Linked DNA regions of Cricetulus griseus. The protein of the gene in region 1 interacts with the protein of each later gene in a biochemical or structural test. Links are inferred from orthologs where the notes say so. Each region holds a gene or a part of one and is shown in the gene's direction. Other genes may lie near its edges. The genes, in order: Pbx1, Hoxb1 and Pknox1.

Region 1 (3,652 bases):
CCTTTTCTGCTTTCCCAGAATTCTCTTCTGCTTCTTTCAACACTGAAAATAGTCTTCATGTTGTCTTTCCACAAAGGCTTGGCTGCTGAAGCCACAACTGGATTTAGTTGAGTGGTTTGTTTATTTGAAGGCAGATGATGTGTAGGAGGTATGGAAGCATTTGCCGTGAGCCACACTGCTGAATCTCTTGATCTCCTTCAGACTAAGTCACCCCCACCCACAAAGTTATGGTGTTTCCATAAAAAGTAGCCAGATTTCGATCTGAAACTCCATTCTACCAGAACCTTGGGTTTGCTGAATCCATGAAAACAGCTTGTTACAAAGACCACACCCTTGCTTTGCACAGAACAAAGCACTTACCAACCAGAACAGATGGATCTCAGCTTTAAAACTAGCATGTCCCTATGCTGGGGTTAGTCTTCCCGTTTTTCTAGACTAGTCTTCACTCTTTCAGCTAGTCCATGGAAAAGGTCTCAGGAGTTAATTGCATGAGCTGGATTGGCCTTACGGAAGTTATTTTGGCAATGAAAATATAGGTTAATCCACTATTTCAAAGAAAGTCACAGAGTAAAAGCCACAAAGAGAACTCTAAAATAAGAAATGAAGAAACACTTTCTTTGCATAAAATCTTACAGATTGAAGATTAAAGTATTATTCTGTTATAATTAATGTTTGTAGTCTAACATTGATTGTGATACAACACATACAATGGGAATTTTGCCTATTTTATAGTGTTCAGTTTGATGGCATAAAGTAGATTTACATGGTTGTGTGAACATCACCATCTATCTATCTGGTGTGAGGGTAGAGACAAGGCCTTATATGGCCCAGGCTGACTTGTAACACACGCACATGCACACGCACACACACACACACGCACACACGCGCACACACACACACACGCACACGCACACACACGCACACGCACACACGCACACACGCACACACGCACACACACACACGCACACACGCACACACACACACACACGATGACCTTGAACTTCTAATCCTCCTGGCTCCACTACCTGAGTTCTGGGATTATAGATGTGACCAGAGTGCTGGGCTTCCAGGAACTCCTTTCAACTTCCCCACGTAAAACTGCAGGCATAACACACTGGCTCCCCATGCCCCTCCTCCTGGTTCCAACTCCACCATTCTTCTATTCTAAGTATTCATCGCAGTAGAGTTTCCTTGGAGCAAAGCAAGCTTCTCCTTCCACATTCTCACCCTCTCAGTTCTTGTCTTGCCCTTCCTCGGTTCTCCACTTGTCATAGGGCATGTAATCTGGAAGCTAGTTTAGCAGAGGAACATGGTTGGGTTCTTGTGTTTCATGCTTGTTAAATGTTTCCCCTGCATTGTTGTTAATACTTTTTCCCTTTTGTCTTTCTCTGTAGTTTTGAGTATTCGGGGAGCCCAAGAAGAGGAGCCCACAGACCCCCAGCTGATGCGACTGGACAACATGCTGCTAGCTGAGGGGGTGGCAGGGCCCGAGAAGGGAGGAGGCTCGGCAGCGGCGGCGGCAGCAGCGGCAGCTTCCGGGGGTGCAGGTTCAGACAACTCGGTGGAGCATTCTGATTACAGAGCCAAACTGTCACAGATCAGACAAATCTACCACACGGAGCTGGAGAAGTATGAGCAGGTAACCACACCCCTGCAGAATGGATCTCAGGGTGGCCCTTGGTCAAGGGCAGAACAAACTGTAGCCTACAGCTTGCTAACCTTCCTTGGTCCAGCCTTTCCCAGAGGTCAGGTATCGTCCTAGAGTCTTGAATCCCCTTAAGAACCTGGTCTTAACTATTGAAAGCCAAAGCCTTACATGGGCCAAGACACTAAACAACATGACATTATAAATGAAGACCTTAAGAAATATGCATGGCCAATGTGAGGAGTATCCTGTGCCAGGAAATCCAGAACATTTGTGGGATGTGGAATGTGTCCAGAGGGACTCCCCCGAGTGTGCGGGCCTTTCTCAGAGTTACAACCTGATGGCAGGGGCTTCTGGCTTCCTTTGGCCTCCACTTGTTTCTTTAAGGGATATTATTCTTCTGAATGCTCCAAGAATCCCATGGAAAGGGACACTTGAACCTGACCTTTAAACGCTGGCATCAGCTGACTCAAATGTGCTCTCTTCTTTATGTGTGATATGGTACACAGTTCTCTGCAGAGATAGTAGGTCATCTTAGGAGGCATCCTAGAGTCATACCAACCTCAACTCCAGCCCAAGCATTCTTTGACAGTGTCGTGGACCTGCATACTGTATCCTGAAGGAGCAGGCATTTGATAGAGAACTGTAGATTTATGATGGATATGATATCCTCTGATTCAGTGGCTTTGGGGCACAGATCGGTGTACAGAGATGAGGTACCTGGAAGATTACAAAGCTACCCCCTGTTAGGGAAATCCCCTTCTGTCCCCCTTACATTTGGAATTCTCTATCTGTGCTGTTTTTCCAACCATTGTGAACAATAGTTCTCTATCAGGAGTCCTTTATCATCTGACTTTAATTCATTTATTTAGCCAACAAATACATTTGTTGTCACCATTGGATTCTATACTGAACCCAGGTTCTATATGATTTTTTTCCCTTGAATTAGATTTTCTTTTACTATTTTTATGACCCAGAGAAGGAAAAAAAAAGCACTCAACTTATGACTGCCTAGGTAGGTGGCAAATGCAATCCTAATAGAAAATTTAAATTTTAAAATAAAAAAATGGACATTTTAAAATTTAAAGTGGAGAAAGTTTCATTATTGCTCTTCCATCCACCTGTGAAATGGAGGATACTCACAAAGTCCACTGTTTTATGCAGGGGATGCTGTGCCTCCTTACCTTAAGCGTCTTGAAATTCACCCATCAGACAGGTGTAGTCGAGAGCTGAAGGAAGGAAAATAAAAGTCAGCATGTTAAGAACTGTGAGTCATTGCCCTGTACCTTCTTGGAAAAGAACAAATGTTCTTGACACAATGTTAGCTCATGGAGACTTGCCTCGGGTCCCGGGGAAGATTGAGATAAATCCTGCCTAATCGAGGTGCTTTTCCCCACCTGGACCATCCTGGATCTGGACTCTGCCCTAATTTAGTTCGATAACGTCAGAAAGTGCATTTTCGGACTCTTCTTATGAAGAGCTCTGGATGGCCTCTCGGTTTCTCTCATTTGTGCTATTCTTACTTCACCTTCCTCAGGAAGCCTGGCCTCTGCCTAGAAACCTGCCTAGACCTGACGCCCAGACTAACTCATGTCAGATAAGCAAAGACTAAAAGGAACTCAGAATACAGCTTTCTTTAATCACACAACTGCAATGTGTGGTAGACTTGGAGGTGTTAAAAGATGGCTTTATTGTTACCTTGGAATGTAGATAGCAAGGAATTGATTTCTCCTTTGATAACCCTGTCCCTCATCCAAAAGGGGTGCCCGCTTGGGCAGCAGTAGTCCATTCCAATAGCATACTTACCGTTGCAAAGCATCAGGACCAATGCAATTGCCCTTGCTCTCCCATGCCATTTTGTTGTTGGATGCATCAGACCATTTGATGCAGGTGAGGAAGTGAGATGAAAGAGGTTAGACACATGTCTGCGGAATAGAGGTTGTCCTGGAGTCCTATTTTGACCCTGAGGCCAAGGGCTCTTATTAAAACTAGGCCTGACTTCATTTA
Region 2 (3,325 bases), on another chromosome or scaffold:
TTCCTGTTTCCCTCCCCCAAGTTTAACCCAACAGGCAGCAAAACAAAACAAAACAAAACAAAACAAAAAAACAGCTCTGCACCAATTCTCCCATTCTCCAAGCAAAGTAAACTCATCTATTCTAGAATACTCAGGGAAAATTTGGGTAGTCATTAACACTTAACTAGCATTGGATTTATGGATTTGAGTCTAGAAATTGGAAAAAAAAACTTTCAGGGAGACTAAAGATAATGGAGAGAGAGAGAGAGAGAGAGAGAGAGAGAGAGAGAGAGAGAGAGAGAGAGAGAGGGAAACCAGAGGAATTCAGGGTCTTTACTAGTTTTAAACACTTTTGAACAGAGAATAAAAATTCCCTTCCTCCTCTTCTTCCTGTAAACATCACCTGGTTCTGCTAGTTGCTGCTCTCTGGAGAGATATAGGGAGTTATTTAAGTCTGAGTGAGTGAGCCAGCTACAGCTATGGATGGCTAGAGAGAGGATAAATACATCCAGAGAGATGAGTTGATGGATAGGTAGGGAACGAGTATAAATATGGAGAGAGATGGACGAACAGAAAGATGAATTGAGACAGAGAGAATATAAAGAGAGGCTGAGGGAGAGAAATGGATGTGTGAATGAGGAGAGAGCGTTTATGCAGAGAGATGGAGAGAGGAAAGGGGCGTTTCTCATCTTCCTCTTCAGGTTTTGGTAGTCCTCGCTGGTCCCCTTGAAATGCCATTTTCCACCCCTTGATTCCTAATGAATTCTTCTGGATTTTAGAGCCTGGCTTACACCCTGAGGTGTTTTTACAGCCTCCCGCCCTTCCTAGTCATCCTTTTGTCCCAAGATAACATACCTCACCAGGCTGCCCTAGCCACTCATCCCAAGACAAACTGGGAGAAAGGAACATGGAATGGGGGTTCTGGGCAAAGCCAGAGCTTCTCCCAATCTCTGGCTCTACTGCCTTGGGTGGGGGTAGGCTTCTTCGAGGGGAGAAAAGAGTGAGGGGCAGCTGGGTTGAATTTGTCCAAATCTAATAATCCAGGGACCCATTGAAGGCCTTGGGGGTTGGGAGGGGAGTAAAGTCTTGAATATTCTTCTAACTCCCCCCCTCTCCCTCTGGTCCCTTCTTTCCAAAAAGTCTTTGAAGAAAGATGTTTTTGACGCTTCCATGTCGCTCTCAGATGGATGGGCTGAGAGTGATTGAAGTGTCTTTGTCATGCTAATGCTTGGGGGGTGATGGATGGGCGCTGGGGCTGCCAAACTCTGGCCCGCTTAGCCCATTGGCCTGAGAGAGATCACATGTGCCCCCCCACCCCCACTCGCTATCCCCTTCCTAGGGGAGCGCTGGCCGGAGCAAGCTGGCCCAGGCCATGGACTCAAGCCTCAGAGCTGTGACATACTGCCGAAAGGTTGTAGGGCAAGAGGGTGTCTCCCCCAAACTGCCGGACCCTCCTTCGGCCTCTACATGGACTATAATAGGATGAATTCCTTTTTAGAGTACCCACTTTGTAATCGGGGACCCAGCGCCTACAGCGCCCCAACCTCCTTTCCCCCCAGCTCAGCTCCGGCGGTTGACAGCTACGCTGGGGAGAGCCGCTTTGGTGGAGGGCTGCCCAACCCAGCGCTCCAACAAAACTCGGGGTACCCTGTCCAGCAGCCGCCTTCATCCCTGGGGGTGTCCTTTCCCAGCTCCGCTCCCTCGGGGTACGCCCCAGCGGCCTGCAACTCCAGCTATGGGCCTTCTCAGTACTATTCTATGGGTCAGTCTGAAGGAGATGGAGGCTATTTTCATCCATCGAGCTACGGAGCCCAGCTAGGAGCTTTGCCCGACAGCTACGGAGCGGGTGGAGTCGGCCCAGGGCCATATCCTCCGACGCAGCCCCATTACGGAACTGAGCAGACGGCAAACTTTGCACCAGCCTACGACCTCCTCTCTGAGGACAAGGAATCATCTTGCTCTTCAGAACCCAGCAATCTCACCCCCCGGACCTTCGACTGGATGAAGGTCAAGAGAAACCCACCTAAGACAGGTAGGGCTCAGAGTGGTCACTTCCTCTCCTTGGCCCAGGAATGCACAGAGGGTCCTGGGCCAGGGCTTGGTTCATCCCTTCAGCTGCTTTGGTATTGGCAGGTAAGGACTTTCCCGTCTTAGGTCAGCTGAGATTTCCCCCATCGAGTAAGCTTGGGGCCACCTCCTTAAAGAGGTCTCCACAAAGTACTTCCTTGTCTGGGCGCGTAGTTTGGAGGCAGGAACTCATGTTTCTGTCGGAAGGTGAGTACGGGTGGGATCTTGGTTCTGGATTTGGAAACTGCTAAAGGAGGGTTTGTGTGGTGCTGCATAGGGACGTAAGTTGGGTAGAATGATGAATGAGGAAACACAGTGCACTGAGAGGAGTGGAGGGGAGGGAGAAAGAGGTGAGAGAACTGACGTGGCTTTTTCTCCCTGCCCCGCCCCTAGCCAAGGTGTCCGAGCTAGGACTGGGCGCTCCCGGCGGCCTCCGCACAAACTTCACCACGCGCCAGCTGACCGAGCTGGAGAAGGAATTTCATTTCAACAAATACCTGAGCCGTGCGCGGAGGGTGGAGATCGCCGCCACCCTGGAGCTCAACGAAACGCAGGTGAAGATCTGGTTCCAGAACCGCCGCATGAAGCAGAAGAAGCGAGAGCGAGAGGGAGGCAGGGTGCCTACAGCACCTTCAGGTTGCCCCAAGGAAGCGGCCGGAGATGCCTCAGACCAGTCCACGTGCACCTCCCCGGAAGCCTCGCCCAGCTCCATCACCTCCTGAATTGAACCATCGGGCGTCCAGAGCTGGACCCAGTCCTGTCGTAGACTCTCCCAAACTTCACAGCCCTGGTGATCCTCCTCACGGCCGAGGAAGGAACCAGTTTAGAGGTGCCTAGGAAACTGGGCAGGAGTGGGGAAACATTTTTTTCTCAGATCTTGGGGTGGAGGGATGACTGACAGCTGGGGATCCTACAAGTCTTGGGACCTGGGGAGTACCCAACCGTTAAAGTGGAGGGAAGGCCTTTTGCCTTTGATCTAGAGATTGGCTCAATGTCAACACCCGAGTGGGGGTAGGAGCCAGCCCATCCCGGATTCTCCTTTGCCTTCCATCTCAGTTCAGTGCCTTTGAGCTTGGAGAATTCTCTTTGAGCACTCTTACCCCAACTTTCCTTCCTAGGCCTGGATAGAGAGAATCTTCAGGATGTTCCTGAGCACAGGCATATTACCGCCAATCTTTAATCTTAATCCTTAATCCAGCCAACTCACCGCAGACCTTACAATAGCATCGACTGCCTTGTGACATACCAAAAAAACCCACCCCAAGCAATCCCACAAACT
Region 3 (3,652 bases), on another chromosome or scaffold:
TCCAAACAAACAAACGAGAAAGAAAAGACAGACAAGGCACTAAAATAAAGGTGCTCATTATCCAGTTTCTTTAGCCAAATGTTGGATGTGTACTAACTGTAGGAAAAAGAAAGCAGAAACAAGCAAAAGGAAAGGGACCTGCCAAGTCCCCAGTGACAAGGACAGGTGCCATGCAGGCCAGAATTGGTGTGATAATTTGTCTGACCACATAGTTTGCAAAGTATTGTTGACCATTTGAAATGGTTAAAAGGGGGCTGGAGAGATGGCTCAGAGGTTAAGATCACTAGCTGCTTTTCCAGAGGTCCTGAGTTCAATTCCCAGCAACCACATGGTGGATCACAACCATCTGTCATGAGATCTGGTGCCCTCTTCTGGCCTGCAGGGATACATGCAGACAGAACACTGTATATGTAATAAAAATAAGTAAATAAATTTTTAAAAAATTGGGACTTGCTTGGGGGGGGGGGGATGGTTAAAAGGCTCACCCGACAGGCTTTTCATTTCTTCCATAAACCTATCAGGAAGAATGTCTGTAAACCACTAAGACTTAAAAGTAGTTTAATATTTAAATTCTCTTTTCCTTTTTGAGGTGGCACAGTGTACCAGCCTGTCACCGTCGTCACTCCACAAGGTCAAGTGGTCACACAGGCGTTGTCTCCTGGGACAATTAGGATCCAGAACTCCCAGGTGTGTGATGCCCTCTAGGACTTGTGATGAGTGCTGCCTAGGTGGGGGTGCAGTGGAGCCCCTCTTTGTGACTGTCATTTGTTGTCAAGTAGCCTCTAGTCGGTTTGTTTCTTTTCATGCTTCCTCTCCCTTACTGTGAAATTGACAAAATTCAGAACAGTCTGAGGCACCAGGGAAGTTTTTCACAACCCCAGATGCTGCCATGTCCATGGCATCCGTCTGCAGTATCTGCACATCAAGACTTGAAGTCCTGTAGATGCAGAACAGCCAGGCAGTTTTCAGAACCACAAAGCCCAGACTGTACCCCTAGCCTGAAGCTGTACCCCATCCCCAGTGAGACTGGGGTGCTTTGTTGAGGTCAGGCTCTAGGTGTCTGCAGAAGCAATTCTTGGCTCCCACATTCAGGTATATTGCTCTTCAAACAAAAGGTGACCGCTGGCATATTGTAGCCAAGGTCGTTCTGCAGTCTTCCTGTTCCTTTGAAGGAAAATGGGGAAGTTGGGTCTCATGGCCTGGAAGACCCTCTGAGTTCTAGAAACATGAATTTTTTACTTTGAATAATTGAAGACAAGGTTTAAAGTATAGTTTTACTTTGTGAATGTTGATTCACTCTGTGAGGTCTCTGTCCATGTCCTTATCAAGGACTCTCATGCCTAGCCTGGGGTGTGGCTGTTGTCTTAAAGGAAAGCCATCTAAATGGGCTGCAGTGGTTCTCAGTGGTCTAGTAGTCTGGGGCTGCCATCTTGGCCATGAAGGTTTGGTGACAACACTAGAGAAAAAGATGCAGGTGCCCCTGGCATAGGTGGTGAGCGGGGGGCTTCAGAGACTTACTGAGTGTGTGATTCTCAGGCCCAAGCCCACATAAGGGAGAGCTGGATCTCACCAATGCTGCCCTTGTCTCCCTACCAGCTTTCTTCCCTTGTGGTTTCCATTTCAATATTTGTAACAAAAGAGCCGTGTCCAATTATTGACTAGTTTTCTAGAATTGAGTTATGCTTCTTTGTTTGTTTGTTTGTTTTCTGGTTTTCAAGATAGTTTCTCTGTGTAATAGACCTGGCTGTCCTGGATCTCACTCTGTAGACCAGACTGGCCTCAAACTCAGAGATTCACCTGCCTCTGCTTCTAAGTGCTGGGATTAAAGGTGTGCGCCACAGAGAATTGTGCTTTTTTTTTTTTTTTTTTTTTTTTTTTTTTTTTTTTTTTTTAGGGGAAGACAATTTAAGTCAACTTACTGGTACTGTAGAAGATACTCCATTTGTCTTGTTTTAAAAGAGTTTTTTGTTTTTTGTTTTTTTTTTTTTTTGCTTTGGGGGGATTGGGACAGGTTTCATTCTGTACCCTGGCTGACCTGAAACTCACCACGATCACCCTAAACTTTAGCCCTTTGGTGCACTGTAATGGTTAACATCTGTGGTTCTGGGGCTGGAGAGATGGCTCAGAGGTTAAGAACATTGACTGCTCTTCCAGAGATCCTGAGTTCAATTCCCAGCAACCACATGGTGGCTCACAGCCATCTATAATGAGATCTGGTGCCCACTTCTGGCCTGCAGGCATACATGCAGGCAGAACATTGTATACATAATAAATAAAATCTTAAAAGAAAAAAGATTAAAAAAAAAAGATCTGTGATTCTGCCTCAGTCTAACCTGCGAACAGTGCCTGCCTCGGGGCTGCAGTCAACAGTTGACACAGTTCAGCATATGGAAGTCATCCCTTAACAGTTTGAAGTGTCTAAGAATTGTAGGGCTTACATGCTGAAAAAGTGGGAATGAAGACCAAATATGTAGACCATGTTATAGTAGCATCAGATTGGTCTTTACATGATTTCCACACATGCCTCTTTACGGTAAGTAAGCCTGAGAGCCTAGGTACCTCCTCCATCTCAAAAGTTGTAAGCTGCTTGATATGTTGTCATTTCAAAGCCTCTCTGACATTGTTTGTCAATTGTATGAAAGCTTCAACTGCAGTTGAATCAAGACCTCAGCATCTTGCATCAAGAGGATGGCTCCTCCAAGAACAAGAGGGGCGTCCTGCCGAAGCATGCCACCAATGTGATGCGGTCCTGGCTCTTTCAGCACATAGGGGTAAGAGTGCATGGGATACACCATGAATGACCTGAGACCCTCTCCTGGCTTGTGTCCCCAGGGAAACTGACTTGTGTTTATTTGTCTCAGTTCTAAGTTTGGTATTATATTGTGTCCATAGTGGGGCTTGAGAACAGGTCCCTGATAATGACTTGAAGAAACTGAAAATGCAGCAGGGGTCCCCCGACTGGTGGAAAGAGAGTCAGCTAAACTACTGCCAATTGTGCTCCTTTGGGTCAGAAAACCCCTACTGTATGATGGGACTGACTGGAGAAGAGGGCGAAGAGAAAGATGAAGTAGCACTGTCTGTGCGGCGGATCTAAGCGTGAGATGCAGTGAGTGAAAGGCACATGGGGAAATTGGGCACAATGAAGACCGCCAACACATGGCTTGTTTAGTTGAAAATGAGTGGCCCAGGCAGAAAGCGAGGCACACAAGTAGTGTACAGGATGGTGAGGGCTGCCAGCACAGGCGGTGTCAGGTAAAGGACAGGAAGTGATGGCCAGTGCAATGGCTGTGATGCTGTGGTCACAGTTCCCCACAGAAGTGCTGTGTTGGGCGCGCCTCTTTCCTTTTCTGGTGTCCATGTCTTATCACACTTCCCTTTAATGAGCTAGTGTTTCTCAAATATAAACACTGGTCCTAAGGACCAGTGAGGACACATTGCCTTGTTTTCCTGTTCCTTCTTGCCCTCATTTCTTTGCGGCACCTAGTTTTCCAAGCAGTGGGGCAGCAGTGACTGCTGTCTGATGGTCTGGCACTGTGCTTATGTTTCTGACCTCACTTTTTGTTTATTGTTTAGTCGCTGATCACATTCTCGCCACACACTGACAGCTGCTATACTGTTGAACATTTTTGGTCAGAGAAACATTCTTACCTGT

What was found.
Region 2: the proteins of Pbx1 (region 1) and Hoxb1 are reported together in a solved structure, tested with the Homo sapiens proteins (2 studies listed by BioGRID and IntAct, with this or other methods). The link is inferred for Cricetulus griseus from reciprocal best matches to the Homo sapiens genes PBX1 and HOXB1.
Region 3: the proteins of Pbx1 (region 1) and Pknox1 form a complex in vitro, tested with the Homo sapiens proteins (2 studies listed by BioGRID). The link is inferred for Cricetulus griseus from reciprocal best matches to the Homo sapiens genes PBX1 and PKNOX1.

Annotation. Positions count from the first base shown.
Region 1 is NC_048598.1:24,509,910-24,513,561, forward strand, and holds part of Pbx1 (pre-B-cell leukemia transcription factor 1), read left to right. Parts: intron 1-1,394; coding exon 1,395-1,639; intron 1,640-3,652. UniProt on the Homo sapiens protein: Transcription factor which binds the DNA sequence 5'-TGATTGAT-3' as part of a heterodimer with HOX proteins such as HOXA1, HOXA5, HOXB7 and HOXB8. Binds to the DNA sequence 5'-TGATTGAC-3' in complex with a nuclear factor which is not a class I HOX protein.
Region 2 is NC_048600.1:109,523,665-109,526,989, forward strand, and holds Hoxb1 (homeobox protein Hox-B1), read left to right. Parts: upstream 1-1,446; coding exon 1,447-2,011; intron 2,012-2,439; coding exon 2,440-2,768; downstream 2,769-3,325. UniProt on the Homo sapiens protein: Sequence-specific transcription factor which is part of a developmental regulatory system that provides cells with specific positional identities on the anterior-posterior axis. Acts on the anterior body structures.
Region 3 is NW_023276806.1:259,928,812-259,932,463, forward strand, and holds part of Pknox1 (homeobox protein PKNOX1), read left to right. Parts: intron 1-589; coding exon 590-687; intron 688-2,642; coding exon 2,643-2,771; intron 2,772-3,652. UniProt on the Homo sapiens protein: Activates transcription in the presence of PBX1A and HOXA1.